Rattus norvegicus: one gene and its partners. The protein of the gene in region 7 purifies or fractionates together with the protein of the main gene of each other region. This does not show direct contact. Links are inferred from orthologs where the notes say so. Each region holds a gene or a part of one and is shown on either strand. Other genes may lie near its edges. The genes, in order: Prmt5, Cdc5l, Sf3b1, Mepce, Sf3a2, Snrpa and Snrpd3.

Region 1 (4,293 bases), on a different chromosome or scaffold from region 7:
ACCAGGGTAGCGTTAATTACACTCCCAGAGATCTGCCTGCCTCCAATTCCCAAGTTCTGAAATGAAATGTGGTGGGCCACCATGCCCAGCCTGCTGATTCTCATTCCCAGGAGGCCACTTACATCTCAGAACCCTGTGGACTTACCTACTGCAATCCTCTTACTATAGTCACACAGAGTCCGGAAGTTATGCCACCTGCCCAGAATCAGAAACAAAGAAAGACCCTGTCAAATGCATATGGCTTATAACTCAAGGAACACTCGAAATCCGTTCCCCATAGTCCTCACCCCGCCCTGTGCAGGTAAAGCAGCAAGAGAGACATACCACAACCACGTCTTCTCCTCTCCACTGTACTCCTCTGTGTGTGCAGTTGGTGCATTCTCAATTACATCATCTCTCAGGTCCTCTGGGGCCACCAAGGGGACCCTCATCCAGAACTAAATATGAACAGGTACCCTGTTAAAGCGCTGTTTCGAACTCAGTGGGTCCAGAAGTTAATCTCTTTATATGCTTTTCTAAAGATTTATTTATTATATTTATTATATAGAAGTACACTGTAGCTGTCTTCAGACACCAGAAGAGGGCATCAGATTTCATTACAGATGGTTGTGAGCCACCATGTGGTTGCTGGGATTTGAACTCAGGACCTCTGGAAGAGCAGTCAGTGCTCTTAACCACTGAGCCATCTCTCCAGCCCTATATGCTTTTCTAAATGTGATTACACGTGTTTGATCTCATACATATCCTTATACAAAGACTTAGCTTGTCTTTTACTTTAAATAGAAATAATTAAGTATTTTCTCTATCTTTAGTTTTATAGTACTAAGACTCAAACCCAGAGGCTCCTGTGTGCTAGGCAAGTGATCTACCACTGAGCCACATCTCTAGCCCCATAAGCTATGTTCTGAAACTCTCTGCACACCGCTTTTAGACGGGGTGGGGGAAGAACAGTACTGACATTTCAATTCTGCCAAATGCACGTGGCGGGGGGCGGGGGGAGCATAACTGGGCAAAAGGTACAGCTAGCGTGATACACAGTAGGAAAGAACCCTCAGTCATACCATGGAAGAATGGTGGCCAGTGTGGATGTGGTTGGTCAGAACTCTGGCCAGATTTGTGTTATCTTCCTGATTAAGGGGCAATAGGAAAGCTGGAAGACCTAGATATGCCCCAAAATTCAGCTCCTGCAACATAGCCTGAAACATAGGATGAAAGAAAACCATTAAGAGCTAAGAACCAAATACTTCTGGGGTAAGGTAGAGTAGAAACTGGCTCTGACACTGTGGCCCAGGCTGTTCTGGAATTTTCTCCATAAGTCAGCTTGACTTGGAATCTGAAGGAGTCCTCACTCACTCTCCAGAATGCTAGGATTACGGCTGTAAGCTGCCATACTCCACCAGAGCCAAACGTTTCCTCTTTTGAAACAGGGTCTGGAATTCAGCGATTCGCTGAGTTGGAGATGTACCTCTGTTGAGATTATAGATGTAAGCCATCACACATTTCTTCAGACACTTAACTGTACTATGATTTACCAGGTTACTCTCCTAACCTAGTTTAGTGACAGAATTACTTTATGTCCTTTTCTTTTCCCCGCATGGAATTCTCAGTCCTCCCTCATTATCTTCCAGATGTGGGAATAGCCTCCCAGATGCTTGAGATTGCAGATAGGTGCCACAATACCCAGGTCAGGCCTAACTTTTAAAGGGATCCCACAGAGAAATTAAACTGCCTTACCGCCTCAGAGTTCCTTCGGATCTTCTCCACTTTTGAGTCTGGATGAATCCATGGAGAAAGCTTTCCCACAATTAGCGTATTCCAGTCTGCACTCCCCCACCCAAGAAAAGACAAAGATTCAATGGGGTTTGGCATTTTCTTGCTCAACTTCTAGTTCTCAGCAGAGAGTAAAGAGGTGAAAAGCAAGACTTTTTTCTCTCTGATAGAGGGATAGCCTGATGAAGAATGGGGGGACTGCAACTTTTAGAAAGAAAGGGGAAAAAAAGTTGTTATTTATGTCATAGGGGCTAGCCAATATATAACCAAATCAGAGGAGGAAAATTAAGTCCTATAAAGCAGAAGATATTACTGCCTCTAATAATTAAGGGGCACAGGGTAAGGTCCCTACCCCTTCCTGACAGCAGTAGGTCTGATCGTGTCTGGGGGCCAGGCCGATTCTTAGCAGGTTCCTGAATGAACTCCCTCTTGAAACGCGGGTGGAAGACAGGCATGCAGAGGAAATCAAACCTACAACCGTGACAGACCCAGAATCATCATGTAAAGTAAGGGCCCAGAGATCCAAGCAACTGGGATATTAATATCTTGATTTTGCACAGTTCCATAAAGCCATCATCAGTCACCCCACGGGCTATTGAGTTCAGCCCATCTTGGGACACATCACTTTCACAACACTGTGCATCAATTTCTTCCCAAAACACAATCATGAACCGATGAGCAAGAAATGGACATAGAAGTCAAGTAGATTTCTTTCTTCCCTGACTTCACTGGCTTTCCAGGACTGTCAAATTTAGACCTGTCCCAACACTGCCCATGCCTCCTCAAGCCAGATTAACCTCTTCTCTCGCTCGCCTCCTTATACTTCTCTCTACTCTCAAATAATCCGTCTCCAAGGCCTACTGTACATCCCTTTTTAAATCTGCCCTGTAACTCCCCTGACTTTTGAACTCCGTGACCACACGCCCCCCAGAGTTTCAACCTCTCGTTCTTGGGGCCGAAGTCTTCCCCACTCAAGGAGTAATGGTGTCTCAATCCCTCATCCCCTGCGAGGTACTAGTCTGCCCTCCTTGTTCCCCAAATTTGGATCCCGCACTCCTCTGGAGGAAATCCGGCCCTCACCCCTGCTTGGCCACAGCACCCAGTGTGTCAGCTATTTCAGGGACGCAATTCAGGTCCCTCCCGCTGGACACGCGGCTGCCACCAGCACCTCCGACTGCCATCGCCGCCATCTTTTCCCTCGCGCAGCCCACGCCGGGATTCCTTGCTATTAGAGGCCAATCACAAAGCGGAGAACAGTCCCGGGGAGGCGGGACAAGTCGCCTTAACAACCAGAGCGTCTTTACAGCCCCAAAGCGGAGGTGGAGGGACCAAGTCGCTGCTCCCACCAATCCGCAGACCGCACAGTGACATGGGCGTGGCACCCTTGCTCTACCAATGACAGGCTCTCGTTGCTGACGCTCTGCAATCTCCCAGAATGCCCAGTCCATCTGTAGCGCTCTAGTGAGACTACAGGTCCCATGCAGCCCTGCGGGATAAGTCTGAAGTATCATTATTGGGCCGGCCTGTAATGTCTGCGGGCCAGTGGCGCAATGGATAACGCGTCTGACTACGGATCAGAAGATTCCAGGTTCGACTCCTGGCTGGCTCGTTGGGACTGGTACTCCTTTATTTGCATCCCTTGCTAATCTAATCATCTCCCAATGTTGCTACTTCAAAACGTCTTTCTTTTATATCCTCTGCTATTTCTTTCACGCTGTGGTTTTCAGGTCTTGGTTCGATTTTGCACCCATCTAATGCTGGCCTTTCTCATTCCTCTCTTCAAAGCTGTTTTGTATATAATCAAGTTATTCTGAGTATGAAAATTTTGGTGACTGGACTATTAAAATGAGTTTTGTCTCATTGTTTTGCTACACTTAAAAAATAGACTGTAGTAAATCACCCACTAATTCCTACTGATTCTGTCCCAAACACGAATGTAAGTAAATATCTTCGCGTGCGCACACACCTCAGAGAAAAGAAATTCACCAGAAATTACAGTGCCCAGGAACCATGAACCTGCATTTCCCACTCTTAACAGCTGCTCGCACGAGCAAAAGGAAATTACAGAGGCAAGGAAAGACCTAGGAAGGGAAAAGGGAAACACATCCCTGAAGACAACAAGCCCATAGATACTGAGGGCCCTCCAGCCAATCTGACGGAGTTCTTTTCTCAGCTGAAGTTCCCTCTTCCCAAATAATTCGCCTTGTATTACACTGACTTAAAAAAGCAAAAACAAAAGCAAAACAAAAACTAATCACGATATCCACGACAGGAGACATTGACAGAATTCAGGGACTAACTAACAAGGAGCCAGGAGAAAATAATTAATGATAATGATAATAATAATAATGACAACAATGACGACGTTCATCGTTTTGTCCCTGCAGTGGGTAGAGGTCAGGGAGAATCGTATTTGGGGACTGGATAGGCTGAACTGGTCGTCTAGAGAGACCTGAACCAGGCAATATTTGGACATGACTAGTGAGATTAGGGGTTCTGGAGGACAGTGCTCTTAGCAATACA
Region 2 (4,419 bases), on a different chromosome or scaffold from region 7:
CATAAATATGACCGAAAGTCTAGGGGCAGTCCTGAGTGGAAGAAGCCATTGCCATAAACCTTTGGAATAGCCTATGTGAAAGGGCTCTGGGAGAGGACTGGTTCAACTGTGGATTTATTTAAAGCCTTTTATGTATGCAAGTACACTGTTGCTCCGTTCAGATCCTTGGATCCAGAACATTCCCAGGTCATAGCTACTTCCATATTCCCCTTTGGATTGGAGTTAGCTTTCCATTATTTTAATCAAGAGTCCTGATAAACCCACAGTTGCAGCTGGAGAGATGGCTCAGTGGTTAAGTGCACTGACTGCTCTTCCAGAGGTCCTGAGTTCAATTCCCAGTAACCACATGGTGGCTCACAACCATCTGTAATGAGATCTGATGCCCTCTTCTGGTGTGTCTGAAGACAGTGACAGTATACTTATATAGAATAAATAAACCTTTAAAAAAAAAGTGAAGTGAGATTGTAGGTCACTAAACCCAAGTGTTTTTCATAATACTACATCACCTCCCTCCTCTCTACTGAAAGCCGTGATATTTTGGTGCAATTTCCTATTTCAAGAGAAAAATAATAACAAAAATCGAATCGGAAAATTCGTCATGTCTTCGAGAAGAGGCAAAGAGAAGCACAGACAATGGCAATGAACCACTGCAGAGCCGCTATGCATGGAATAAAATCTTTCCCTAGGGACCTGGGGTGGCACCAAGTAATTGCTCTGGAATAGTGAATAGTCTGCGTGGGAGAGAGGGAGAGGAGATAGCGGAGAGTTTGACAGGTTCCACCTCACCGAGTGTTTATGAAGTCGCAGCTGTCCTCCGATTTTATGAACAAGAGTTCGCCCTTAGTTCCACTCTTCAGATGACGCCGCCGCAGGATCCCAGGGGCAAGTCTCCCTCAACCCGCCGAGTTTGTTCCACAGAGACCCACCAGTGAGGTATGAGTGAAACCCGCGAGCGCGACACTTTGAGGGCTCCTAGGGCGCACCTTCGTGAACTCCTCGGGGGCTGAGGTGAAGTTTGCGCGGCTCTTCTAGGAAGGATAAAGAACACTTCGGGAGAGCAGTCGCGTCTCTCAGGGTACAGTTAGGACCTTGAATCTGTTCAGCATCCTCGGCACTTGGCACTGCGGGTTGTAGTTCCCAGAAGAGAACAGACTCACCCTATTGCATCTCCCTGAGGCCTCCGCGAAGTTCTTGTCGCTTAGATGCCAGCGGGGCGCTCCGTTAAATAAACTAACAAAGCTCCCATCCGATCTAGCGTGGTGCGGAACGCCACACCCCTGACTTCCCTACCCCCCTCCCCCTGTACCGCCCCCCCGTGACTTCGGGACCAATCCCTTCACGCGTTGCCGGCCAAGTTCCACCTCTGGCATCTCGCGAGAGTTTTGTTTTCCTCCAACCTGTCTGGGACCTGCGCGCGACGTCGGGCGCTTTGGCCTCTACGGTTTGATAATTTTCCGTCAGTGTTAAGGTTCCAAAATAGGCCGCGTCTTTCGCCTTCGGCCTCTAAGATCTCGCGAGATTTACCGGGGGCTGCTCACGCCGCGCCTGCGCAGATCTCATCAAAGCAGAAGGTCGCTCTTGGAGGAAGTGGCCTCTTTGCGTCCCGTGACCGAAGCGCCGTTACTACTTTCTCGAAGCTCCACTCGGCCGCTTGCCGGGACACTCCGCCGCCAAGATGCCCCGGATTATGATCAAAGGGGGCGTGTGGAGGAATACGGAGGTGAGGCAGCTTTTCCCGCCGTCCGCAGCCCTCCGCCGGGTCCGGTAGCGAGTGCGCACGCGCGGACAGCTCCGGGAGCCTTGGCTGTCCCGCGGGGGTCTGCGTGGGGGGCCGCGACTCTGCGGACCCGGGAGACCCTTGCCATGCGTGGGTGCGGATGCGGGTCACCTGGCTCAACCTCGGGAACGAGGTCACGACTTGTCGGTCGGCGCTCCCCGCCTGGCATCTGCTAGGCCCTTGAACACTTATTTGTTCAGTTAGGGACGCGCCCCCTCCTCTCCCCTGCAACCCTGTGGCGGCTCCGACGGGACCCCCGCGGAAGCCTAGTTTTTCTCCAGCTCCTTCCTTTGTCAGTTCTAGCAGAGCGAAGCGCTGTGACCGCAACTTTGTTTTTCAGTGACTTACTTAGCGGGGGCAGGCGGCGCGTTTACGTCTGCACCTCTCTGCTTATCTGGTCCCCGGGCATAGTCTGTCCGTTCTGCAGATTCCCAAGGTCCTTTCTCTTACCTTCCAGTCACGCCACCCTTGCTGGGATAGAAGCCAGTATAGGGTGGTGTTTGCTTCCAGAAATGTAGTAGATAATGTCACGGTGAGCGGAACGGGAGAAGAAAGGAAATAAAAGAAATGAAATGAACGTGTATTTAATCGGATGCGCTGAATGTAGGAGTACCTTTACGTCTCGTACCTTCTTGAGATAGCTTCTTATTGCTTGGCATCTTTCTGAGTCTCCTCCAAACTTAGCTGAGAACACTTCTTGGAGTCCTTGCCCATAAGCCGTCCCGTTGAGAGTTGGTTGTTTAGTGGGTTTGTGGCACCTATTTTTCATTCGCTACAGCTCATTTTGTTGTCGCAGGCACTTCTGTGTGGTTCTGGCGGAGTTTAACTTCTCAGAGCCTCAGTTTACTCATTTTTATAAGACACATAATAGTGTTTGAGCTCTTGAAATGAGTTGGCAGTTTGGAATATTTCAAACACAGCTGGGCACATTAGTAGGCTTTCAGTAAAGTTGAATTGCTGTTGTCCTCATCAGACAGCAGTGCAGAAGGACCAGGCTTTGGTCTGCTAGTATGAAGCAGGCTGCTTGGTGGTGTTTGGGAATGAATCTTGTAGGATAGGGACCTGCCACATGTATTTGGTTGAAGATGTGCTGAAAAACTTTACAAATGGAGGTACTAAAAAGGGTCTTGCATGCACCCAGGCTATTTAAACTTGGAAGAGGTGATTTCTGAGGAAGAAGTAGAATCACAAAAATTTAAGTTACAGCAGTGGTCAAAACCCTGCAGAGGGGTGTGTGTGTGTGTTTGAGATAGGGTCTCATGTAGCTCAGATTGGCTTTGAGCTTCTTATGTAGATGAGAGTGACTGGTAATTTGTGACCCTCCTGCCTCTACCTCTCCAGGGCTGGGATTACAGGTGTGTACTGCCATGCAAAGTCTTATGGGAATCTAACCCAGGACTTCATGTATACTAGGTGGGGACTCTACCAATTAGTAATGGGAGAGAAGATGGAGTGGAGGGGCTTAAGTATAAGGCAGGCAATGCAAGTTCATTGTGGAAAAAGCCTAAAAGTAAAGTGCTCAAGAAAGATCTACGACTTTCATGTTTGTGAGTTTGCTTGGCAGGTTGTCTGGGGATTGGGTTATGCTATGGGTACCCCGGTGAAGTAGTTTTTGGAGATTGGAGTAGATGGTGCTGACTGATGAGGTAGAGGGAAATGTGGATCCTGAGCTGTTGTGGTTAGTAGGATGATGGAGAGGAAATGTGTTGAACCAGAGTCTCAAGTTGCTTCTTTGATTCTCTTTCCTGGAGTATATAATGAGACCTGGTTCAAGGTAGATATTCAGGAAGCTTTGCTTTTTTTGTTTTTGTTTTTGTTGCAGTTGTTATTTTTGTTTTGAGTAAATATAAATATGAACTCTATCTTTGAAGAGAATGGCAGGTACATATGGGTGAATAATTTTGTCTGTCATAAAGTAGTGTTTTCAGCATTGACTTTTCCCACCTCCAGTTTGTTGAGGGGCAGGTAAGATGTCCTTTCTCTCTTTTTTTTTAAAGATATATTTTACTTTAAAAATTATGTGTCTGTGCATGAGTACAGGTGCCTTCAGTGGCTAGAGACTTTGAATCCCCTTGTAGCTGGAGTTATAGGCAGGATGCCTGATAAGGGTGCTGGGAATTGAACTCACATTTTCTGCAAAGAGCAGTACATGTTCTTAACCACTGAATAATAAAGTTTCCATGCCTTTTTTATTTTTTTAACGATCGTGTGCCTCTCTCTACAGGACCTCTGCGGGGACTAACTTAAGTTTTGTCTTTTCTCATTTAGAGGCTTGTGACTGAATGCATTCTCTTTGGTAACTCTCTAGGATGAAATTCTTAAAGCAGCGGTAATGAAATATGGGAAAAACCAGTGGTCTAGGATTGCCTCATTGCTGCATAGGAAATCGGCAAAGCAGTGCAAAGCCAGATGGTATGTATGTACCAGTCAGTCCAGGGGAAAGCAGTGTGATCCGGATCCCCACTGTGATGAGGGAGCTGGCTCTTTGACCCCCTCTATTCCCCTAAAGCATGAACTGTGATATGGAGGGAAGTATGGAAAGAGGGGCCTTTAGATGTACTTACCACTTGCTTCCTGTGTCTTGAGCAAACCATTTTTCCTCCTCTTTACCCTGCCTGTTTTCTCACAACTTAGCACTAATT
Region 3 (4,368 bases), on a different chromosome or scaffold from region 7:
TATTTTCTCTGAGTATGAGGCCATCCTTAAATTTGTAATTTAGGTCCCAGCCCTGGGTTACATTTAGAACAATTTAAACAGCGATAGAAAGCTGCAAATCTGGTCAATAGGTCACTCCTCTTTGCCTGATCACAGCAAAGTTATTGCAAGAATTATTTTAAGTACACCCATGCTGTTCTTTTTCAACTAGCCATTACCTGGGGTCATCTTGCCCACCGGACAGAATTATTTCTCGAGAAGAGAACTGGGCTTTATTGCAAATCAGGACTTAACACTGCTTGTGACCCTATCCCCCTTGAGCTGCCTGTTAGGAAAGTGTTCTATGGTGTGGGGGCAGGCCTAATGGCTGGTCAATACTGAACAAGCATTGCCATCTTAGGCATCGTAAACTTTAACAGGTCTGGGTATCATACTGTTTTTTGGGGGGTATTTTGAGGGCAGCATTCCTTTAGCTAAATTCTACTTTGTGTAATTTAATGTCTCGTAAGCAAACCTATTAGTAATTACTACATCAATTCTATTACTTTGAGTTTCTTTTACATCAAATCCTTTTAATAATGCACACCTGAAGGAAACATTGCTTGAAAAACTATCCATATTTCTCCATGCCTCATTGTGAGGCTATGCAGCAAGCTTTTTCTAGACAGTTTCTCTTTTTCTTTAAAATAATGTGTATGTATGTAGTGTTCATAGGTCCATCAGATACCTGGACTGGACTTAGTTTGTGAGGGGCCATGTGAGTGCTGGGAATTAAATCTGGGTTCTCTGGGAGAGCAACCGTTTCTTAACCTTTGGGTCATCTCTCCAACCTGTCCTAAAGTTTCCAATGGTGCCCTTTCTGTTTTCCACTGTCCTGAATCTGGGAGTTCTTTCTTTCTTTCCCTTTTTTTTTGAGACAATGTATCTATTTTTGAGCCAGGCTTCTGGGAACCAAGGCTAAGAGCCTAGTTTATTTCCAAATTCGTTATGTAGCAGAGGTTGACCTTGAACTCTGGATCTTCCTGTCTCACCTTTTGAGGGCTGGGTTATATACTTCATCTCCGGCCCCAGCATTTAACTCCCTTAGAATAATCTGTTCTTTTTCTTTTTTCTCTCTCCTTTCCCTTCCTTTCGTTTGCTTTTTTTGAGACAGGGTTTGTCTATGTAGCCCAGTCTTCCCTGGAACTCTCTTTGTAGATCAGGCGGGTCTCGAACTGCCTTTTGTCTTCCAAGAGCTTGAATTAATGGCTCTGAGAAGACGCGTTTCACTTGGAGAGCAGCCATTCTCTTCAGCCTCGCTCGCTGTTTAAGGAAGCCGCCGGGAGCCCGCCCTGGCCCCTCCCATTCCCATCATGCACCTCGCAATTTTATTTAGGTGGCAGTTGGACTACGTGCCACGGTGCGGCGCGCGTTCTCGTGTGCGCAGGCTCAGAGTGCGGCCTGCTTCTTGTGTTGGCGGAGGCGAGCGGAAGTCCTTGGGAGCGCCAGTTCCGTCTGTGTGTTCGAGTGGACAAAATGGCGAAGATCGCCAAGACTCACGAAGGTAAGCGGCCTTTCCCTTCCCACGCGCGACCTCGGCAGCCAGCCAGATGCGTCCCTCTCTCTTGGCTTTCGGCGTCTTCGCGAGGCATCTCTGGCCTGGGCCGAGTCAGCGCGGCGGGGCCTGCTCGGCTCTTCGGCGCAGGCCGCTACCCTCGTAATGGCGTCCTCTTGCACTCCGGGGCTGGTGCTTTGTTCCGCGCTGGATGTTGGTGCTTCGGACTTCTCTTGCTCTGGCCGGAGGGCCTCGCTCGAGCGGCTTGCTCTGGAGGACTCCGGGGGAGGGAGCAAGAGGCGGACATGGGAGGGACGTCTCTCTCGCTCCCTGGGCGCTGTCGTTGGCAGTTTGCACCTGGAAAGCCCTGAATGACGGCAGCCGCTTTCGGGCCGCTCTTAACGGAGTCCGTTTCAGCGGAGGCCTGTTACTTCAAACCTCCGTTGTATAGGTATCTCCAGGCGGCTGGGTTATGTTGTGGTGGTGCTTGCACGAAATGATTCCGGCATAAAATCTGGTAGTTTACTCCTTAAATCACTTTCAGCGTAGTGTTTCTCTTTTTCTTTGAGAGCTAAATGTTGGAGAACCAGGAGTAAGAAAGAAGGAAGGAAGGGCAGATTTGACCAGTTGCCAAAGTTTTCAGGGTAGTCGGTCATTTTATGCCCCACAAGAGTAAAACAGCTTGAAACATGTTGAAAAGCTACCGGATTCCATAAAGAAGGAACCAGAGAAGACGGGAAGGAATTGAGTGTGAGAGATTGAATCTCTCTTTCTTGGCTTCCGGTTTAGAAGCCAAAATTTACGCTGACAACATGGCTACTAAGTCACTAAACAAGTCCTTTCTAAGTGTGTGTCTTGGTGTTAGAGAGAGGTAACAAGCTAAGGATGTTAGAAATTTGACAGTTTGATGTGGAAAACAAACGTGAGTCTTTATTCTCTTAGAAAAGGAATGTGTACAGAGAAGTAAAGCCAATACTTTCTGAGAAGCTGGGTAACGGAGCCATTAATTTATGCATAGTTATTTTTGGGAGGTGGTGACGTGGTGCTGATAAAAAAGGATCAATCAGTTTTAAATTAGAGGAGGATGTCTGAGCCCGAGGGAACATCTTGTAAGAACACTCGTGACTCGTAAGTGACTCGTTGTTGTGGTGGACTAGGGTGTAAGGAGGGAATTCCGATACGATTCTAGAGAGATGGTTTAGGACCAAAAGGTGATTGTTGGGACATTGGAGGAACTGAAAGTATCAACACTTTTGAAAGCCAGAAATGTTAACGCCTTAGTCTTTTGTTTTTAAACTGAAAGTACAACACATGTTTTTGTTTTCTTTTTTTCTTTTCTGAGATTACATAGTGATCCCTGTTGCCCTGAAACTTCCTATGTAGACAAGAATAGGCCCTAGTCTACAAGGTTAAAAGGCCCGAGTGTGCTATGTCTGGCTAGTCCAAGACTTTTTTTTTTTTTTTTTTATTAACTTGAGTATTTCTTATTTACATTTCGAGTGTTATTCCCTTTCCCGGTTTCCGGGCAAACATCCCCCTAACCCCTCCCCCTCCCCTTCTTTATGTTTTTTTTTTTTTTTTTTTTTTTTCCTGGAGCTGGGGACCGAACCCAAGGTCTTGCGCTTGCTAAGCGCTCTACCACTGAGCTAAATCCCCAACCCCGGTTTTTTTTTTTTTTTTAAATTGCAATCTCTCTCTCTCTTTCTTTAAAGAATGATTTATTTCATGTATGTGCGAACACTGTCGCTAGGTTATTTCATTCTGGGGAACCAGTGAGTTTTTTGGGCTTACAGAGCCTGGTATGAGGGGAAGTGTTTACTGACAGAAGCATGGTTTACTGCATGCTGGCATCTCCATAGCTGCATAGGTAGAGTTTCATGCCCTGATAGGTTATTTATTTATGGATATTTTGTAGCTTTGATTGTTGGCTTATTGATATCTTCAATGTAACATACTCCCTGTTAGAAAATGTAAAGTTTATTTTATGTGCAGTAGTGTTTTTCCTACATATATGTCTGTGAGGGTGTCAGATTCCCTGGAAGTGGAGTAAAAGACAGTTGGAAGCTTCCACATGGGTGCTGGGAACTGAACCCAGGTCCTCTGGAAGAGCAGCCACTGCTCTTAGCTGCAGAGCCATTTTTCTAGCGCTGGTAAATGTAAAGTTTAGGGATGAATTTATTTATTTTCTTTCTTTCTTTCTTTCTTTCTTTCTTTCTTTCTTTCTTTCTTTCTTTCTTTCTTTCTTTCTTGTTTTTTTCATTGTAGAAGTCCAGCAAACTTGTTGGTCAGTTGTAGGTCATTGGCAGAAATTGCTAATTAGGATTATTTTATCGTTGAATTAATTAGTATTGTACAAGTGCTGTTTGAATGCAGGGTGCTGTATGTCACTATTAGGTATAAGTCAGATGCTAACACCACCCCCCCACCCCCCAAAGACAGGGTTTCCCTGTATAGACCTGGCTGGACCTAGCTGACCTGGAATTCTGTACACGGGGCTGGGCCTTGAACACAGATTAATCTGTGTTTCTTAAGTACTGGGATTAAAATTCTCGCATCACCACCGCCCATCTCATAACTTTTTAGTAGAACTGTATATAGCATTTTCATGGCCTCTTGCTCTCTTAATGACGTTTTCCTGGAGAATATAGTGTTTTACAACTGTCATTTAAGTCACTGTAACATGGAGCAAAATTCGTTTTCCTGAGGGGTGTGGCCCTCAGTATAAGTCTTCATTGTCTTAGTCTTTTTGTTTTTTTTTTTTTGTTGGTAGGTTTGTTTGTTTTGTGGCTTTGCCTTGGAATTTGCTCTGTATATCAGGCTGGCCTCGAACTTTCTGTTTTTTGAGACAGTTTCTC
Region 4 (4,192 bases), on a different chromosome or scaffold from region 7:
CTGTGTTTCAGGTCTGTTCTTTCTCTAAGGAAATAACCTTAAGAAATCTCTTTTTAAAGAAGGTAAACTCATCACCATTCCTGGGGAGACATTTCCCAGGCCAAGCCACTGGCAAAAGTTCCCCTGGATGGCCTAACAACTGTGTAATGGAGGGAACTAGCATGATGTCAGGCTGGGCACTCGCTCCATGTAGAGCCCTGCCTTCACTGCCCCTTCTCATTGTTCAGTCAGCATGGGAAGACAAGCCCATGAGTTCCTGACCAGTAATTTCAGCAGTCTGTGCTGCATCTGGGGAAAAAAGGCAAATAAAGTCCCTATCAAAGTCCCAAACTACACATATTGGAGTGTTTCCCCTCCCCCAGACACCCAACTTCAGGCTCCCTCAGGAGATTTGAGGACAAGGTTCCATCTGGACTCAACAGGAGAGGTTACCCTCAAGGGAAGCGGATTGTTTGGATTTTAGTCCCAGTTGGAAGCAGAACAAGTCAGCCCCCTATGTTAGGGATGAGATCCTTGTTTGTAGTCATGAGAAAAGACCAGATGTTAGAGCCTGAAGGTAGAGATCCCACTTTCCACGTTATAGGAGCAGAGATAACACACCCAGCAGAGATTCTCTGGCCAATCCAGACTGTTCTCTCCGGGAGATGGTTCTTGTATGAAGGAACAGATGCATGGATATGGCCATCCCCCCCAACACATCCCTACTTAATCTCATCTTCACATTGGGACCCTATTCCAAGAGCCTCTGGACTCTTACCGTGACGAAGACGACATTGTTGGGGAAGACAGATGTGTCCGCTCCATCCAAGGGCAAATGGGGTGCAGCGATGGGACCCCGGCTGGCTGTCAGTGAGGCTGGGAAGCAGCTCCTTTTTCGGACAGTGGTAGTCCCTTCCTCCCCCTCTGTCCCTGGGTCCCCCTCAGAAGTCTGAGCTTGGAGACGAAGCTCCTCGGACAGGTAGTGTCGGATATTTTGGCGGGCAGAGTGGATAAGTCGTGGATCAATGTCCAGCCCCACCATGCGGGCTGGGCCCCACTTGCAGGCAATACTTAGGGTCAGATGGCCAACGTTGCAGCCCAGATCTAGGACGTCCCGGCCTTGAAACCACTCAGGCTTCAATACCCTAAGGCGCATGTCCTCACAGGAAGGATTGCGATAGCCATAGTACTTGCAGTAATTCCCATACTGGAACTTGAGCTGTTGCTTTTTGAAGCCAGTTGCAGGTAGTGGGTGGTGGTGACGGCCTCCCCCACTCCCTCTGCCCTTTTCCTTGGAACCCTGGCTTCCACCCCTAGCCCCTGCCTCTGACTTGCTGGAAGTCCTGCGACGTTTGCGATGTCGGGAGGAGGAGGAAGAGGGTGCAGAGGTAACTGAGGCAGCTGGAGGGGCAGAAAGGGAGCCTGAGGAACCCTGCAGGGCAGACGGAAGGGGAGACACAACTTCATCCCTGCAGTTGATGGCTGTGTTGAGTTCATAGGGTTGAGGGTCATCTCGGTTCTGGCCTCTGTGCTGCTGCGTAGCACCCTCCCCATGGACTGAGGGTGTGAGAGGGTCAGTGGGCAGCACAGCTTGGCTATCATTCCCTCCAGATGCCTGCTGCTGCTGGTGGTGCGGTCCCCGGTGTCTATGGCGCTTGCGACCAATCTTGAGTGGTGAAGCAAGCACTACATGGGCTTCATCAGTGCACGTGTTGAGACTGAGTGGGTCAGTGATATCTTTTGGGATGAGGATCTCCACAGGGTCTCTCCCCTTGGCCGGAAGTGGGGATGACTTTGGGGTCTCCGCATTGAGTGCGCGACTCACTTCCTCATCCAGGAGGCTATTCAGGTTCAGTGGATCAAATATATTACCCCCCAGAAGGAAATTGGATGGTAACACGGAGTCGCAGTCCGAATTCACTCGCCGGCGCCTCTTGAAGGCCGGATGTTTGAAGCTTCCACCGCTCCCTCCCCCCACGTTACAGCTATTTCTTCTTTTGCCCCCACCACCCACTGGGGGTCGGTGGGGCTGGTAGCCATTGCGAGGTCGAGGAGGGGCTGGGGGACCCAGGTCCGTCCCGCCCCCTCCCCGGCGCTCCTCCCCCACGTCCGCAGGAGCGGCAGCTCGCCCGTGGGGCTCCCCATGCGTCTGTGCCTGGGGGCCGCCCCCTCCGCTGGCTGTGGCCCCGGCCGAGTGCGCGCGTGGGCCCGGCCCGCGTTCTGTCCCGTCGAGGAGCTCCCCGGAGGCAGCCTCTTGGTGCGATCGCACCTCGGGGCCGCCCCCTCCACCCGACTCATCTTTGAGCGGCGGCGGTGGGGCTGGCACCAGAAAGGGCTCCTTCTCCGCCGCCATCTCGATCATCTCCTCTCCCTGTTTAATTTCCCCTTCCCAAGCGAGGGTACTGAGAAGAGATCAAGGGGAAGCCCCCCTGTAACCCTTCCTAAGACCACCTCACTCCCTCCTTCCCCGAGTGCGCGCGCAGCTCTGCCTCGCGCCCAAGCGCCTCCACCTCCCTCCCGCAACACACCAAGCGCGCTCCACTCGCCCGCGAGACCAAAACAAGATGCCCGCGAGACCCGGACAAGCCGAGGAACCAACTGCGCGTGCGCTGACACCCTTTTCTCCGCCGCCTCTACCACTCTGCCGCGAGCGCGCACGACGGGCGCGCGTTCCGCTCGCCCAGGACCCACGCATGCGCGCTCCGCCACCACCCAGGCTGCGCGCGCATCGGGAGTGCGAACCAACTTAACGGCTCTGAGAGTTTAAATACAGCCCCCCCTCCCTAATAGCCTCACCCTCCCCCAGCCCGAGACGCCCACCGCCCCACACGGACACCCGACTTCCCTTCGCTGCTAAGTCCAAGCCCTACTGATATCCTTTGTCTCTGCTGTGAGATCCCACCCACCGTAGGCGGGGAACGGGAGCTGGTGTGAAAAGGTCTCCTTGACACCCGACCCTTGTTCCTGAGGAATGAGGCTCCGCGGTCTCCGCCCGGCTCTAAACCCAACAACCTCCCTGCCCCGCCTCCTTCCTCCCCCATCCCCGCCCCTCCTAGAGAGCGCCTGCGCACCGTCCTTTTGGGCTTGCGCGGGTTGAAGGGGCAACACGTGCTGGAGATGATGCTCCGCCCCCTCCGTCCTAGGGGCGGGGAGTATGACGTCGTTTCCTTAGGTTAGATGCACGCAGCGTGCGTCAGCACGTTTCCAAGGGTTGTGCATTCCCAGGAAAGGGGCAAGCTCATGAATTATTCATGAGCAATCTAGTCCTTCCCCTCCTTCTTCCCGCCCATCTCATTAGAATTAGAAGGATTTAGGAGAACCTGAGGGGGGAATGATAAAGTAGGCGAAGGAGTCGAGCACACTGTCTCAAGAACTGTTGTCAATTAAATGCAATACATTGTTTAAAATATTCTTCGAATTGAAAACAAGCAAGCACTAAAACATCGAGGCTGTACAAATTCCTCTTCCCCTGAAACGGCCTGGTCGTTCAGGCGACCTCCCTTCCACCAGCGAGGAACATCTAGAGAACCACGCCTTCCTCTCCTCCCTTCACCTACGTCAGGCCTCGGACGCCTCCGCTACAGTGCGGCGCCTGCGCATCAGTCCCCAGCGCGAAGGGTGGCGTTGTTGTTATCGTCAATGCCACCTTTCGCGTTGTGGATTTTACAGCATTATCGCTGCAGCTTTGCTCCACTAGACACACAAGCGAATGTGGGCGGGAACGGGTATCGACCTGTTTTGGGCCTTCTGCTTCGGCCAATGGGAAGCACTGATTCCATGCCGAGTCCCTAGACTGATGGCTGGCGGAGTTTCCCTGTCAGCAGACTATCAGAAAAGAAGCAAGAGGGGGGCCCAAGATGGTCTCAAAATATAAGAGCGTGACGGAAACTAAAAGATAGGGGTCATAACATGGAAACAGGAAGGAGAAGGAGATTTTAGGCAGAGACAAGAACGAAGTGCCTCAGGTGCTCCGCTGCAGCTTATGGGGGGGGGGGGGAATAAAGGCGCCGGCGTGGATTATGGGACTTGTAGTTTCACTAGGCTTTCACTCGGAAGATGGCGAGCTACTCCAGCTGCTCAGACGCAAAAGCGGCTTCCCTCGGCGCATGCGCACTACGTCTGTGAGCGCACGCCGCTTGGGGGCGGGATTTGTCCGTGTCTTCGCGCCTTCTCCTGGTGGCGGGAAAAGTAGCTCGAGGTGGAAGGGATGTGC
Region 5 (4,391 bases), on a different chromosome or scaffold from region 7:
CTACACAAGTTTTCCGCTGGCCTTTCTGGCATACTCACACCCAGAAACCCATGCGTGCACATGTACAAGAAGCAGAAAATAGGGGTACAGATGGAGAACCCCACTGGATGACAGAGGTAGACACGATGGACAAATCTCTACAAGGTACGCAGCAGAAAGACCTCTCCAGAGGTGAAGGCTGAGACAGGTGTCCTTCAAGGCCTCAAAGCCCTGCCCGCACACTCACTCCCACGGCAGAGACTGCTTCAGTTATACACACCAAGTTCACAGACTGCACCTCTCTCGGCCGTAAACCGGCAGAGGATCGGGGAAGAAACTAAGATGAGAACCTGACCCAGTGGTCACTCTGAGTGACAGCTGGGACAGTCATGGGCCACCAGCGGACGCGAGATCCAGGACAAATGGAGATTCCTAAGGGAGTAAAAAGGATCGCGTGCGCGGAGCAGAGTCCGGGGTGGAAAGTGGGGAACAGAACACTTACTGATGGAGAAGCCTCCCGGCTCTTCCTGGGCCACTCTGCAGCGCTCCAGCAACAGGGCTCCGAGGGGCTGCGCGAGACACGGCCATGAGCACCGGCCTCTGGGCCGCGCGGGTCCCCCGCGCCCCCCACACCCCTACCTCGGCCTCGTCCGGGCGGAAGTAAAAGAGGAAGTTGACCACCAGCTTCACCAGCCGCCTCTTGGCCACTGCAGGCAGAGGGCGGTGTCAGCGCGCAACTGCTGTCATCCGCCCACCGGGGAACCCCGCGGCCCGCCCAAGTGTCCCAGCCCCGGCCCGGACCAGCTCACCGCTGCCCTTCTTGGGGCCCCGCATGCCCAGCTCGGCCGCCATCTCTGCCGGCTGCCGGGACAGCGCTTGCAACTCTTTCTCGTTGTACCGCATCTCGCCGCCCGGATCCGCGCGAACCAAAACGCGCCCTGCCTCTCGGCCGCCGTCCTGCCCGAAGCCGCTACTAGCGCCACAAAAGTCTCAGGAAGCGACCTCGTAAGTCCCAACGGTGCTACTGCGCCTGCGCGTTGTTGGGCGTGTTGCGTGACGCTAGTTGGTGGGTCAGCACAGTAGAACAAGGAGTCGGACGGGAAGGAAATCGCCCGTCCTTAAATAACCGTCAGACACACTGAACGTGGGGTGTAAATTTAGACTCATAGCACCTCACGATACGCGAAGCTCGTTCCCGGGCCTGTGAACCCTGAGGTTTAAGTCCTGTCGCGATAGTCAGCGCCAACAGAGTTAGGGCGGAGCAAGAATTCGTAGACAATGCAGTGCGCACGCGTACTCCGTGTCCCGGCGCTCTTTTTTTTTTCTCCCGCCTCCCGTAGGGGGAGTCCATTCGCTGGGCATGCGCACACATGAAACTCCGCCTTCCTTGCCCCCGGAAGTGATTGCTCAAGCGGTCGTGCGCATGCGCACAACAAAATCGCGGCATTCGGGGAGGTTAAGCCCAGTTACCGAGGCCTTGGTGTTGGTAAGGAACTACGCGGTTTGTCGGTGGCGGCTGCCCCGTCTGTGGGTCTTGAAAGTAGGAGCGAGAGCGTGGGGCCTGGCGGGGCAGCGGCCGCCCTTTCCCCTTAGGCGTGGCGCACCCTCGCCCTAAGAGCGCGGTCTCGCGAGGTCCTTTGAGTCGTGGCGTGATCGCGGACTTTTGTGGCGGTTCCGTGGCCTCTAGGGTGGTTCGGGTTCTTGGAATGTCATTTAACCTGCTTGTTTGCCTCAGTTTCCCTCGCCGTTAGTCAGGGCCATGGCGACTACTGCTCCTGTCCACTGTAGTAGGTCTGTTGCTCGGATTAAAAGATAACGGTATATGCATTTAAAAGTGATTTGCGGGGTTGGGGATTTAGCTCAGTGGTAGAGCGCTTGCCTAGCAAGCGCAAGGCCCTGAGTTCGGTCCCCAGCTCCGAAAAATAGAAAAAAGAAAAAAAAAGTGATTTGCCTTTAGACCAGGCAGGCCTTCTCCCAGACCGTGACCTTAACATATACTACTCTTCTGTTTCTATTGATCGTTCATCGGTAATCTTAGAGTAGTCCGTGAGGTCGCACGGCTCCCAACCATTCATCCTGGTCTCTTGTCCCAGGCTTCACTTGTGAGTCCATCCAGTCATCGGCACAATTTTACTTTATTTCAGACAGCGTCTCACGGCATAACTGAGGCTGACCTGGAACCCTGTGTGGACTAGGCCGATTTCGAGCTCACATACACTCCCATACCTCTGCCTCCCGCATACTGAGATTTACAGCGTGTGCCACTACACTTGACTGTTTTGTTTTAAGGAAGGTTTATTTTGACTGATAGTATGAAGGTGCAGTCCACTATGGTGGTCGTGTTACAGCCATAGTCAGGAAGCAGATAAAAGCTGGTATTGGAATCCCTTTCCCGTGTTTTTAAAGATTTTTTTTCCAAATGTGTGTCCATGTGGAGCTTCATGTGTGAGTATGATAACGTCAAGTCCAGGAGAGACTGTCAGGTTCCCTGGAGCTGGAGTTTCTGGTGGTTGTGATCTGCCACTAAGTCATCTTGCCAGCCTACCCAGCACCCTTTTGTCTTTTATTTGAGACAGATCTCACTGCACAGCCCAGTTTGGTCTCAAATTATACCCATCATCTTTCTACCTTGGCCTCTAAGGGAGCTGGAAGGAAATGTATACACTGCCATGCCCCATGTTTTCTGTTTCCTGAGGTTGGGAACTGTTGGTGGGCTGAGGCGGTAGTTCATTGGTGAGCGTTTGCAAAACTTTGTGCTCCATCCACTGGGCCAAGCAGTATGCTCACCCAGGCCAGTTTTATTCTGCTTTCCTTCCAAAGCTGATGAACTACATTTCTGCAGTGGATATCCATGCACTCAACCTCAAGCATGCCCCCCCAGGGGACCCAGTGCATGCTGGACAAGTGTTCTCCTTGAGTGGCACCGTCAAGTCTGTGGATGGACACCCAGCCTCCCTGGGGAGGCCAGCCACAGAGTCCTATGTTCTCAAGAGTTGTCTTTGCCTGAGCCTGGAGTGGTTTTCCATCCTGCTGCTGCTGCTTGTGGGTGCCCCTAACTCTGAGAAGCCAATTGATTCTCCCACCGTTTGGCTGTACTCTCGTGTCTGGCCAGCTTCATCTCTGGGAGTGTGTCTGTTGGTAGCTCTGGATGATGTAGACGATGCCCTTCTCAGTCTTTGGCTGAGTACAAAACATCTAATAGGCTGCTCCTGTCCCGCCACTTCAGTGTACACCTCTCAAGCCGTCCCTCTCAGCACCTAGAGCATCCTGTATCCTTTGCCTTCTGGCCTCTTCCTCCTTGACAGCCAGTGCTGTCAGTGGCCTGTCAGCCTTGAGCACACTCTAGTGACATTGTAGTAACTGGGTACCTGCCCTCAAGGTTCTTGGTCACATTTGTAGAGCCCCTTGTGCTATGGGAGGCACCAGTGATGATGACAAGAGCTGTCTCTACTTGTCTCCTGGTCGCTGGCCCTGGGTTTACTGTAGGTTTACCAGTAGACTGAGTAGTCTTAAGTGTTCTGCCTCAGGTAACACTGTCTGGAGGCTTTGGCTGAGCCTCCAAGGTGAGACCCTTGGTATCGAGCATTCCTTGTGTCAGGCAGAGGAGGGTGTGTCCTCTAATGCCAGCAGAGGTAGGCAGAGGCCAGCCTAATGTGTGAGGAGAGTTCTAAGATAGCCATGACTACGTAGAGACTCCTCCCTCAATAATAACAACAACAATAATAGTAATCATATGTTACATCAGGGAGAGGCGGCTCAATGGTAGTCACAGCACTTGGGAGGATCAGGAGGTCAGAGAAGGGATGGCTTGCATGCTGGGCCATCCCGCGGTCCTAGCATCATCAGCAGGGTTCTAAGCCTTAGTCTTCCTTGCTCCCCAGGTTTCTCCTGTCCCCTAAAGTACCCAGGCCTGCATCATGGACTTTCAGCACCGACCTGGAGGCAAAACTGGGAGTGGGGGCGTGGCCTCCTCCTCAGAGAGCAACCGGGATCGAAGAGAGCGCCTGCGGCAACTGGCCCTGGAAACCATCGACATCAATAAGGTGGGGGAGGGAGAGTCTCCAGGCCTGCAGAGCCCTCACCTTGCCCACCTTGGTCCTTGGGTCCCGGGGCCAGGCTGTGCGGTCTCACGGTACATTTCTTCACTCCCAGGACCCGTATTTCATGAAGAACCACCTGGGATCCTATGAGTGCAAACTCTGCTTGACTCTGCATAACAATGAGGTACCTGCCCACCAGACTTCCACCATTCTGCACTGGCCTGGTGACACTGGTCGGCCTTGGACCTGTCACCTGGAGCCAACCACTCCCTTAGTATTGCTCTGGTTTCCTTGAATTCCTTTTTTTCTTATCCCTGGGGGTCAGAGCTCAGCCTAGGGCTTAGCCATGCTGGGTAAGAAGTGAACTTCATC
Region 6 (3,271 bases), on a different chromosome or scaffold from region 7:
TGTAGGGAGGCTGTCCTGGCATGTGGTGCATGATGCGGGGTGCCTGAGTCATCGGTGGCATGCCCTGTGGAGAAAAGAATTAGCAGTGATGTCACAGGGATAATGGAAGGCAAGGTCACAGTGCCCACAGCACAACGGAGCCACTGAGATAAGACAGAAAGAGAAAGACCCACACTTGAAAAGATGAAAAGCAAACCTAATTGAGCCGCCAAGAAGGAAAAGCTGAAGTTCAAGGATGAATGCTAGACCACAGAGAGCTTTTTGAAGGGGGGAAAAAAGAGGCATAATTACTAAGGCCCAACTTTGTCCAGAAGTATGTAAAGACATTGGAGGGAGGCTGAAGATGACTCAGTGGTCAAGAGAGCATGGTTCCCAGCACCTACACAGCAGCTCACGGCGCCCTATGTTTCCAGCTCCAGAGGATCCAGTGTCCTCTTTGGGCCTCCACAGGGACTGCACTCAAGTGCACAAACAGTCACAAACTTAGAAAGTTCTTACCACGTAGCCTGACTGGCCTTGTACCCACAAGGACATACATGCCTGCCTTGTGCTGGGACTTAAGGTGTGTAGCACATGTGGCCCAAAAATTACATGTTTAAACAAAAGAAGAAAAAAAGACAAGAGGTGGCTCAGCAGTTCTGACTTCTTTCAGAGGACCAGCATACAGAGGACAGATCACAACTGTTACTAATTCCAGACCAGGGGATCCGAGGCACACACACGTATGCAATAAAAAAACAAATACCCACATGGACATACTCCTATATGTATTAAAATATACATATATTAAAAACACTCTAATGTAAACTAAAAACAAAAAAGGTGGTTCAGCAGGCACCAGCCTCCAAGCTGACACCCCGAGTTCAACCTCCAGGATCCAGTAGAGTAGAAGAAAATTGGCCACAAGTTGCCCTCTGACTTCCGCTCATGTGCATGGGCATAAACACTCATAAGCACAGACAATAAGCAAAAATGTAACTTAGTAATGAAAATAAATCGAAGATGGAAGAAAGGTTGAGAGCAGAAGTGATCACTGGGCCAAGCCAAAGACACATCTACCACCACTAGCTACAAAATGACTCAGCCTAAGAACCATCGGATGGAGACGGAAGGAGGCTCCACACTTCAGCTGTCCTTTCCTTTATGCAGTGTTTCTGGAGTCCATTGCAGAATGATGCCCTGTTTCCTATTGGGTCAGCTGTCACACTTGGGCCCATGAGTCAGCTTGAATTAATGTTCTCAAAACAGGCCAGAATAACCTTAACCTCCCAGTCTCGACACCACTCGCAAGGGCACACATTAACCCTGACGTAGTACAAGGTTAATTTCCCTTCTTTCAAGTGCTGGGAGTTGAACCCAGAACCTTATGGGAACTAGGCATACCTCGTCCTAGGCAGGGCATCAGAAGTGCAAGGATTCCCTACCAGGCTGGACTGTCATGTCTTATGAGCTATCCCTCTACCCATAGGCTGGCCGTCTTGGAGGCCGGAACTCCAGAAGCTGTCTTCAGCACTGGACAACTGAGAAGGTTCCCTCCTCCTTCCACGGGATCCCAGGACTTACTTGGCCAGCACTTTTACCAGCAGAGACAGCATCACGGACACGTCTGCCTAGAGCATGTGCAGGCGCTCTGCCTCCTACCCAGCAAAGGCGGTTTTACCTCTGCATTTACTCTGTGATCTCTTTCCTCAACAGAGAATAACTCTCTCCTCATTTCTCCTTCTGCTTACAGCACTAGGGACTGGACGGATGGTAGGCTGGTAAACTTTTACTTTCTATAGAGACATGGACTTAGCGTGAGCATGCACAAACATGAACATACAAACACACACTGAAGTAAAGATACACAAAACAAAACCAAACTCAAGGAAGAAAACTAGCAGACAGACCTTCAAAAACAATCAAGTGTATGCAGGGGAAGAGAGACCTGTTCCATCCATATGGCTCACCCAACCCAATGGGACAACGTGCTCACTCTACCCCCACATGAAGCCATGTGACTGAAGGAGTGGGAGGGACACTTTTCTGCACTTACCGGTACAGGCTGGACAGCGCCAACCACAGGGGCAGCTGCCCCACCCTGAACAGCCTTTTTGGCAGCAGGTGTCTCCTGACTCTTGGGCTTCCTCTTCTCACGTTTGCGATCTCTCTCCACAAAGGTGCCCTTCATTTTGGCAATGATGTCTGAGTCAGTCTTTGCGTACTGGATACGCTACCAATCAGAGCAGAAAGGTCAAGGGTATAGAAATCAGGGGAAACTGTTAGGGTTCAAAATGAGACATCAAAAGGAGCTTGCTAAAAAATGTTAGAGATTGCTTGGTGACAACTTCCTCATCTGTAAAATGGGGATATCTTCCACTTGACAGAATTATTGTAGAAAGTTAGTAAGTCTAAGCGCCTGGAAGCAGCTATAACTGTAAGCTACAACATGAGCTCAGTCTGGCCTGGTCCACCCTGCTGAGAAGGGGACCTGGATACAACTTTTCAGATACAATGGTCAGGAAAAGCAGACACACAAAAGGGAGGGGTGAGAACCCTGTGGACACAAGGAGGACCTAGCAAGGGAACAGCCAGGAAGCTAAGGGATGAGAAAGGTTGGTCTGGGATCCTAGCTGCTCATGAGACGAAGGCAGGAGGATGGGCTCCACTCCTGCCTAGCTACATGGGGATAAGAGGAAGTGAGGAGGGGAGGTCACAAGGACAAGGGGAACCCTTTGTGCTTTCCTAGGAAGCTGAAAGACAGTGTTGTAAGGAGGGACGGGAGCTCTCAGAAGAATTCAGATGTGGAGACAAGGCTGGGTGTGTGGAGGGGGACAAGCAAAGGTGGTGGCTAAAACAAGGCTTCCAGTGGAGCTTGGCAGTACAGGCAAGAGGCTGCAGTCATAGGACGTCTTCAGAATCCTTTGCTCACTTTGATTCCATCATATTTTTGGAGTATTTTAGACAGGCTCCAACTCTGCAGTCTAGGTTGAGTCAAAACTCTTGGCAATTAATTCTCCTGCCTCAGCCTCCTGCATGTAGGCACAAGCCACCACACTCAGCTACTTGATCACTCTGTGGTCCCACAGCCCCCGTATAAGGAACACAGGAAGTAGGGGAACAGCAAGAGAAAGTCGCATCCTTAGAACACTACAGGCCACAGGAAGTCCACGCCCGCCCAGTCTCCTACACTACACACAACATGCAAACTTCACATTCAAGATACTCACCATGGGCTTGTCGTAGAAAGGGAAGCCCTGCATGGAACGCAGGGCGTTGGTGGCACTGCTGA
Region 7 (4,189 bases):
CCAGTAGTAAGCAAATAACCAAAACAGTAGCAAGACAAAAGCGCTGGGTTTGGGAAGCCAGAGAAAAAGACCTTCCCTTTGCTAGATGCTCCCAAGCCATTTTTTCCCCTCTTTCCCGCCCCTTTGTTGAGTGCTCTCAGGCCCCTCTTTCCCCCCCTTCCCGGCCTCAGGCTTTCCACAGCTCCCCGGGAAACAGGATCACCCAACGTGCTTCAAGCAGGGCTATTCGTTTCTGAGCAAGGTTGTGCCTTTTTGCCCCTTGGACTTTTCCACTTGACCACTCTCAGAACTCCCTGGGCTTCAAACCCCGGGAGACTCAGAACAACCATAAGTTGAGGATAAGAGATGAGAAGGAATATCCACCTAGCTAGGACCCACTAGAGGCTCCAGGCTGGGCTGAGGCCGCAGACGACCCAAGGTCGCACGCTGCCAGACCCTGCTCGGCTCCAGGGCGGAGTCCCCCCCCCCCTCGGTTCCCCCTTAGAGAGGCACTGACCCGGCTCGAGCGGCTGCCCCGCTGCCTCTACCTCCGTTCTCATGACCCGGGTGGCGCAGGGCGCCCATGGCCCCGGCCTGGAGCTGATTGCCGCTGCGATTTCTGCTGGGCGGAGAGCTCGGCCAGTGAGCGTAGAGTTCCTCCGCCGCCGTCGCCGCGGCCACCGCGGTTCAGACCCGGGTAGGCGGTGGCGAGGCCGCCTCAAGCCACGCCTAATCCCTTCCAGGTCTGGGCGCTGGAAACCCGCCCCTTCCATAAGCCACACCTCTTCCCTTCTACCCACTTCTCTTCCAGACTGCGCTCCCGGCCGGTCCTTCCCTTAAACGCTCCGGCGGCCCCGCCCTTCCTTAGCCCCGCCCCTGCCCGAGCCCCCGCCCCCAGAGCCTTTCCCGGGGCGACGTTGGCTCCCCACAAACAACCTAGCACTCTCCCGCCACTAGGTCTGCTCTTTTGCAGCCTCAGTTGTAGGCTCTGGTCCTTCGCAATGCCTCGTCGAGACTCCAAAGAATCCTTTTCCTACTCCCTTTAGGTCTTCTTACTTTGACCTTGAATAAAGATAGTTCCCAGGGCTCGGTGTGTCCCTTACCTGACGGTGACCGGATCCAAAGTTTAAATTTCTAATCCAAGCCTCACTTCCTGTCTACCCAGAGCATTGGGCGCAAGCCCAGATCCTGCCCAATCCGTCACTACAGCACTCTGTAAGCGTGGGTCCCCATGTTCCTTTGTGGGCTCGAGGATTGATGTTTCCGGCGGTCCTCGGGCCCTCCACAGTGCCGGAACTATAGTGCTAGAGGCCTGGGTTCCCCAGCCGGCTAAGTGAGAGTAAAGGGTAAGTAGGCCTAAAGGAAAGGGAGGGGCCTGCGCAAGGCATTCTGGGAGCGCGTGGTGTGAGTGATACTCGGGCCCGTCGTTTCCTCGCCTCAAGCCTTCGCCTTCTAACGTTTGTGCCGGGACCGAAAAAAAAAAAAAGCCTGCAGTTAGTTGGTGAGGAGAGGCGGCTAACGGGAGAGGGGAGGCCAGGGCTCTCCAGAGGCTTAGGAGCTGAAAGGGACGCGGAGGAGGAGCTCAGCGGGGCTTAGCGGAGGGCGGGAAGCCAGGGCCTATCCAAATATCATCTCACTAATCCTAGGAACAGTTATTTATTTACGCCTAGCCAGCACGTTCTGTGCCTTTCCAGGTCACCGATTTTCGAAGCTTACAGGCAGTCCTTTCTTGCTAGTTATCTCCTTGCCTTCCGGATCTTCGTTTTCAACGTCCTTTTCATCCCTGCGCCACTCCCATTCCTGTACTGGCCTCCCCTCCTGCTTTGCACGCTGCTGCAGACGTTTCAGCAGATTGCTCTGCTATATGTTTAATCCACTTTGTAGATGCTACTAGTTTTTTTTTAAGCCCTTGCCTATAATCCTGTAGTGTTTCCCTACCATTTTCAGCACTCTCCTAAAGTTGAAAGCCGTGGTTCCTCACCATGTTTAGCATCCTTATAGTCTTCTCATGAAAATGGGCCGTGTGCTCCGTCTAGTGTCGTTTCCCGTCTCAGAAATGTAAAAGCCCTGCGCATAGTCTTTGTTTTTTTAATGAGACTTAAGTCGAGCGTTTACCCTATTTCCCTGAATGATGAGCATTTCCTGTTTATAGCATGTTGCCGTGACGCTTTTGGTCTGCTTTTTGGTGGGGAGTCAAAAAGCTAAATTGTAAAGCACAACCTGTTTTCCTGGATTTCTCTGGGTTTAGGTCTCTTTGTACTATCAGGTACTGTAGCTTTTATCCAAATGCGGTTGCTGAGTGATTGGAATATGACTAGTGTGGCTGAGGGACAGATTTTTTTTGTTTTCATTTGCATTTTGTTTACGTGTAAACAGTTATTTGGTCGGGGTCCATATCATAGTTGTTTAAATGATTATAAAGAGAGGGACATATGACTGGGTGAGAAGGGAGGTACTCGGGGTTGGGGATTTAGCTCAGTGGTAGAGCGCTTGCCTAGGAAGCGCAAGGCCCTGGGTTCGGTCCCCAGCTCCAAAAAAAAGAACCAAAAAAAAAAGAAAAAAGAAGGGAGGTACTCTGATCCCATTCATTGGCTTTCTTTGTCCAGTTTACCATCCTTCCCTACCCTACATGTTGGGCTAACTTGCCGTCGTGGGTCCTTCAAACCAAGAGCCAGACTCCTTCCACAGAAAATGCAGCCGTGACAGAATCTGCAGAGCCTGTGGAATGCCAGTCCTTAGGCTCCGAAAGGTAACCATTGTCTCTCTCACTGCCCCATAGGAAGAGTCCTGCCAAGATGTCTATCGGTGTGCCAATTAAAGTCCTGCACGAAGCGGAAGGCCACATAGTGACATGTGAGACCAACACTGGTGAAGTGTATCGGGGGAAGCTCATTGAGGCAGAGGACAACATGAACTGCCAGGTATCCTGCTTTGCACCCGGGGCTGTGAAAGAACGGTGGCTTCTATCCTGGGGGATAAAAAGGTCTTAATGAAGTTATTCTTACCAGACAGTTACTACCTGTCAGGCACTCTGACAGGCTGTGAGATCATATGTCAATGTAGACTTAGTCTTGAGACAGGAAAGTCATTTGACAGCCTGATGTGGTAGTCCATGAATGTCCCAGCAGTTGGGAGGCTGGGGTAGATTCGAGGGTTCTAGGCCAGTGTGGGCTTTACAACAAGACCACACTGCTTTTGGTGGGGAGTCAAAAGGCCGAGTTAAAAGCCCCGCCTCTCTTCTTAGTTTTCTCTGGGGTTGGGTCTATGTGTGCTTTCAGGTAGCCTTTATCCAAATGCAGTTGCCGAGTACCTGTCCGTAAAACAACCAGTTATGTTAACTTGTTCTGTCTGTCTCGGCTCCTAGAGTAGGTCAGGTTCGGAACCGGAGTCCGCTTCCCAGCACAGTTTATAGTTTGCAGAATTTTCTGCTCACATATGTGTGTGTTTACTTTTGTCTTGGAGAAAGTTCATCTGATAAAACTACCAGAGTTTTGATAAATGGTTTTGGATTTTTTTTCTCCCATTAATTAAGAACTTGAGCTTTGGAATCAGAGAATTCTCTGATTTCAAATTGAGTTGGGCCACAATTATAGGACCTGGGGTACCTTGGCCATTCGTTCTCTCCTCTATAAAATGAGAATGGAGTTGTTTTGGATCCTCTGTGCTGTAAATGCCAACCCAGAATTAAATCCACAAAAGACTTGTTGGGGAAATGGCAGAAGGATGTCAGTGACCGAGCGGGATAGCACATGTGATTGGTTACTTTTCTTGTTGCTGTGATCAAATTCCTGACCAAAGCAACTTACGGAAGGAGGAATTTATTTTGACTCACAGTGTGATGACACAGTCTGTTGCAGAGGATGGTGTGATGGCAAGAGCTTGAGGAGGCTAATAGTCGCATTGAATGTGCAATCAGGAAGCAGAGATTAGTGCCTGCGCTTAGCCCAGTTTCTACTTTTGACCTCCACCTAATCTAGATAATCCCTCACAGACGTGCCTGTCCCTTCCTTCAGTAATTCTAAATCCATTAAGTCGATAATAGTAATGATGGTAGCAGGAGAGTCTTCAATCCAGAGAAAGGAAGGCAGATTGAGCAGAAGGAGCCTCAGACTGCAGCATGATGCTGAGCAAGTTTCCCCAAGTAAGAGGAGTGACTGGAGGCAGAAGTGGACTGGCTCTCATGTTTCCTCTGTGCTCAGTCCCTGGCAGC

Evidence for each region.
Region 1: the proteins of Snrpd3 (region 7) and Prmt5 purify together in Homo sapiens (affinity purification with mass spectrometry; 3 studies listed by BioGRID and IntAct, with this or other methods). This does not show direct contact. The link is inferred for Rattus norvegicus from reciprocal best matches to the Homo sapiens genes SNRPD3 and PRMT5.
Region 2: the proteins of Snrpd3 (region 7) and Cdc5l purify together in Homo sapiens (affinity purification with mass spectrometry; 3 studies listed by BioGRID and IntAct, with this or other methods). This does not show direct contact. The link is inferred for Rattus norvegicus from reciprocal best matches to the Homo sapiens genes SNRPD3 and CDC5L.
Region 3: the proteins of Snrpd3 (region 7) and Sf3b1 fractionate together in Homo sapiens (co-fractionation; 4 studies listed by BioGRID and IntAct, with this or other methods). This does not show direct contact. The link is inferred for Rattus norvegicus from reciprocal best matches to the Homo sapiens genes SNRPD3 and SF3B1.
Region 4: the proteins of Snrpd3 (region 7) and Mepce purify together in Homo sapiens (affinity purification with mass spectrometry; 3 studies listed by BioGRID and IntAct, with this or other methods). This does not show direct contact. The link is inferred for Rattus norvegicus from reciprocal best matches to the Homo sapiens genes SNRPD3 and MEPCE.
Region 5: the proteins of Snrpd3 (region 7) and Sf3a2 purify together in Homo sapiens (affinity purification with mass spectrometry; 4 studies listed by BioGRID and IntAct, with this or other methods). This does not show direct contact. The link is inferred for Rattus norvegicus from reciprocal best matches to the Homo sapiens genes SNRPD3 and SF3A2.
Region 6: the proteins of Snrpd3 (region 7) and Snrpa purify together in Homo sapiens (affinity purification with mass spectrometry; 3 studies listed by BioGRID and IntAct, with this or other methods). This does not show direct contact. The link is inferred for Rattus norvegicus from reciprocal best matches to the Homo sapiens genes SNRPD3 and SNRPA.

Annotation. Positions count from the first base shown.
Region 1 is NC_086033.1:31,945,339-31,949,631, forward strand, and holds the start of Prmt5 (protein arginine N-methyltransferase 5), read right to left. Parts: upstream 2,975-4,293; 5' UTR 2,961-2,974; coding exon 2,851-2,960; intron 2,242-2,850; coding exon 2,123-2,241; intron 1,821-2,122; coding exon 1,735-1,820; intron 1,197-1,734; coding exon 1,062-1,196; intron 438-1,061; coding exon 325-437; intron 196-324; coding exon 146-195; intron 1-145. UniProt on the Homo sapiens protein: Arginine methyltransferase that can both catalyze the formation of omega-N monomethylarginine (MMA) and symmetrical dimethylarginine (sDMA), with a preference for the formation of MMA.
Region 2 is NC_086027.1:23,060,827-23,065,245, forward strand, and holds the start of Cdc5l (cell division cycle 5-like protein), read left to right. Parts: upstream 1-1,570; 5' UTR 1,571-1,675; coding exon 1,676-1,720; intron 1,721-4,085; coding exon 4,086-4,189; intron 4,190-4,419.
Region 3 is NC_086027.1:64,023,717-64,028,084, reverse strand, and holds the start of Sf3b1 (splicing factor 3B subunit 1), read left to right. Parts: upstream 1-1,365; 5' UTR 1,366-1,494; coding exon 1,495-1,522; intron 1,523-4,368. UniProt on the Homo sapiens protein: Component of the 17S U2 SnRNP complex of the spliceosome, a large ribonucleoprotein complex that removes introns from transcribed pre-mRNAs.
Region 4 is NC_086030.1:24,547,336-24,551,527, reverse strand, and holds the start of Mepce (7SK snRNA methylphosphate capping enzyme), read right to left. Parts: upstream 2,933-4,192; 5' UTR 2,342-2,932; coding exon 758-2,341; intron 1-757. UniProt on the Homo sapiens protein: S-adenosyl-L-methionine-dependent methyltransferase that adds a methylphosphate cap at the 5'-end of 7SK snRNA (7SK RNA), leading to stabilize it.
Region 5 is NC_086025.1:9,563,235-9,567,625, reverse strand, and holds the start of Sf3a2 (splicing factor 3A subunit 2), read left to right. Parts: upstream 1-1,426; 5' UTR 1,427-1,465; intron 1,466-3,860; 5' UTR 3,861-3,896; coding exon 3,897-4,022; intron 4,023-4,131; coding exon 4,132-4,203; intron 4,204-4,391. Other genes in the region: Plekhj1 (pleckstrin homology domain-containing family J member 1), read right to left, coding at 482-548, 789-1,038, 1,152-1,330. UniProt on the Homo sapiens protein: Component of the 17S U2 SnRNP complex of the spliceosome, a large ribonucleoprotein complex that removes introns from transcribed pre-mRNAs.
Region 6 is NC_086019.1:91,611,837-91,615,107, forward strand, and holds part of Snrpa (U1 small nuclear ribonucleoprotein A), read right to left. Parts: coding exon 3,210-3,271; intron 2,213-3,209; coding exon 2,036-2,212; intron 65-2,035; coding exon 1-64. UniProt on the Homo sapiens protein: Component of the spliceosomal U1 snRNP, which is essential for recognition of the pre-mRNA 5' splice-site and the subsequent assembly of the spliceosome. U1 snRNP is the first snRNP to interact with pre-mRNA.
Region 7 is NC_086038.1:13,142,097-13,146,285, reverse strand, and holds the start of Snrpd3 (small nuclear ribonucleoprotein Sm D3), read left to right. Parts: upstream 1-1,365; 5' UTR 1,366-1,480; intron 1,481-2,758; 5' UTR 2,759-2,774; coding exon 2,775-2,900; intron 2,901-4,189. Other genes in the region: protein GUCD1, read right to left, coding at 497-752. UniProt on the Homo sapiens protein: Plays a role in pre-mRNA splicing as a core component of the spliceosomal U1, U2, U4 and U5 small nuclear ribonucleoproteins (snRNPs), the building blocks of the spliceosome.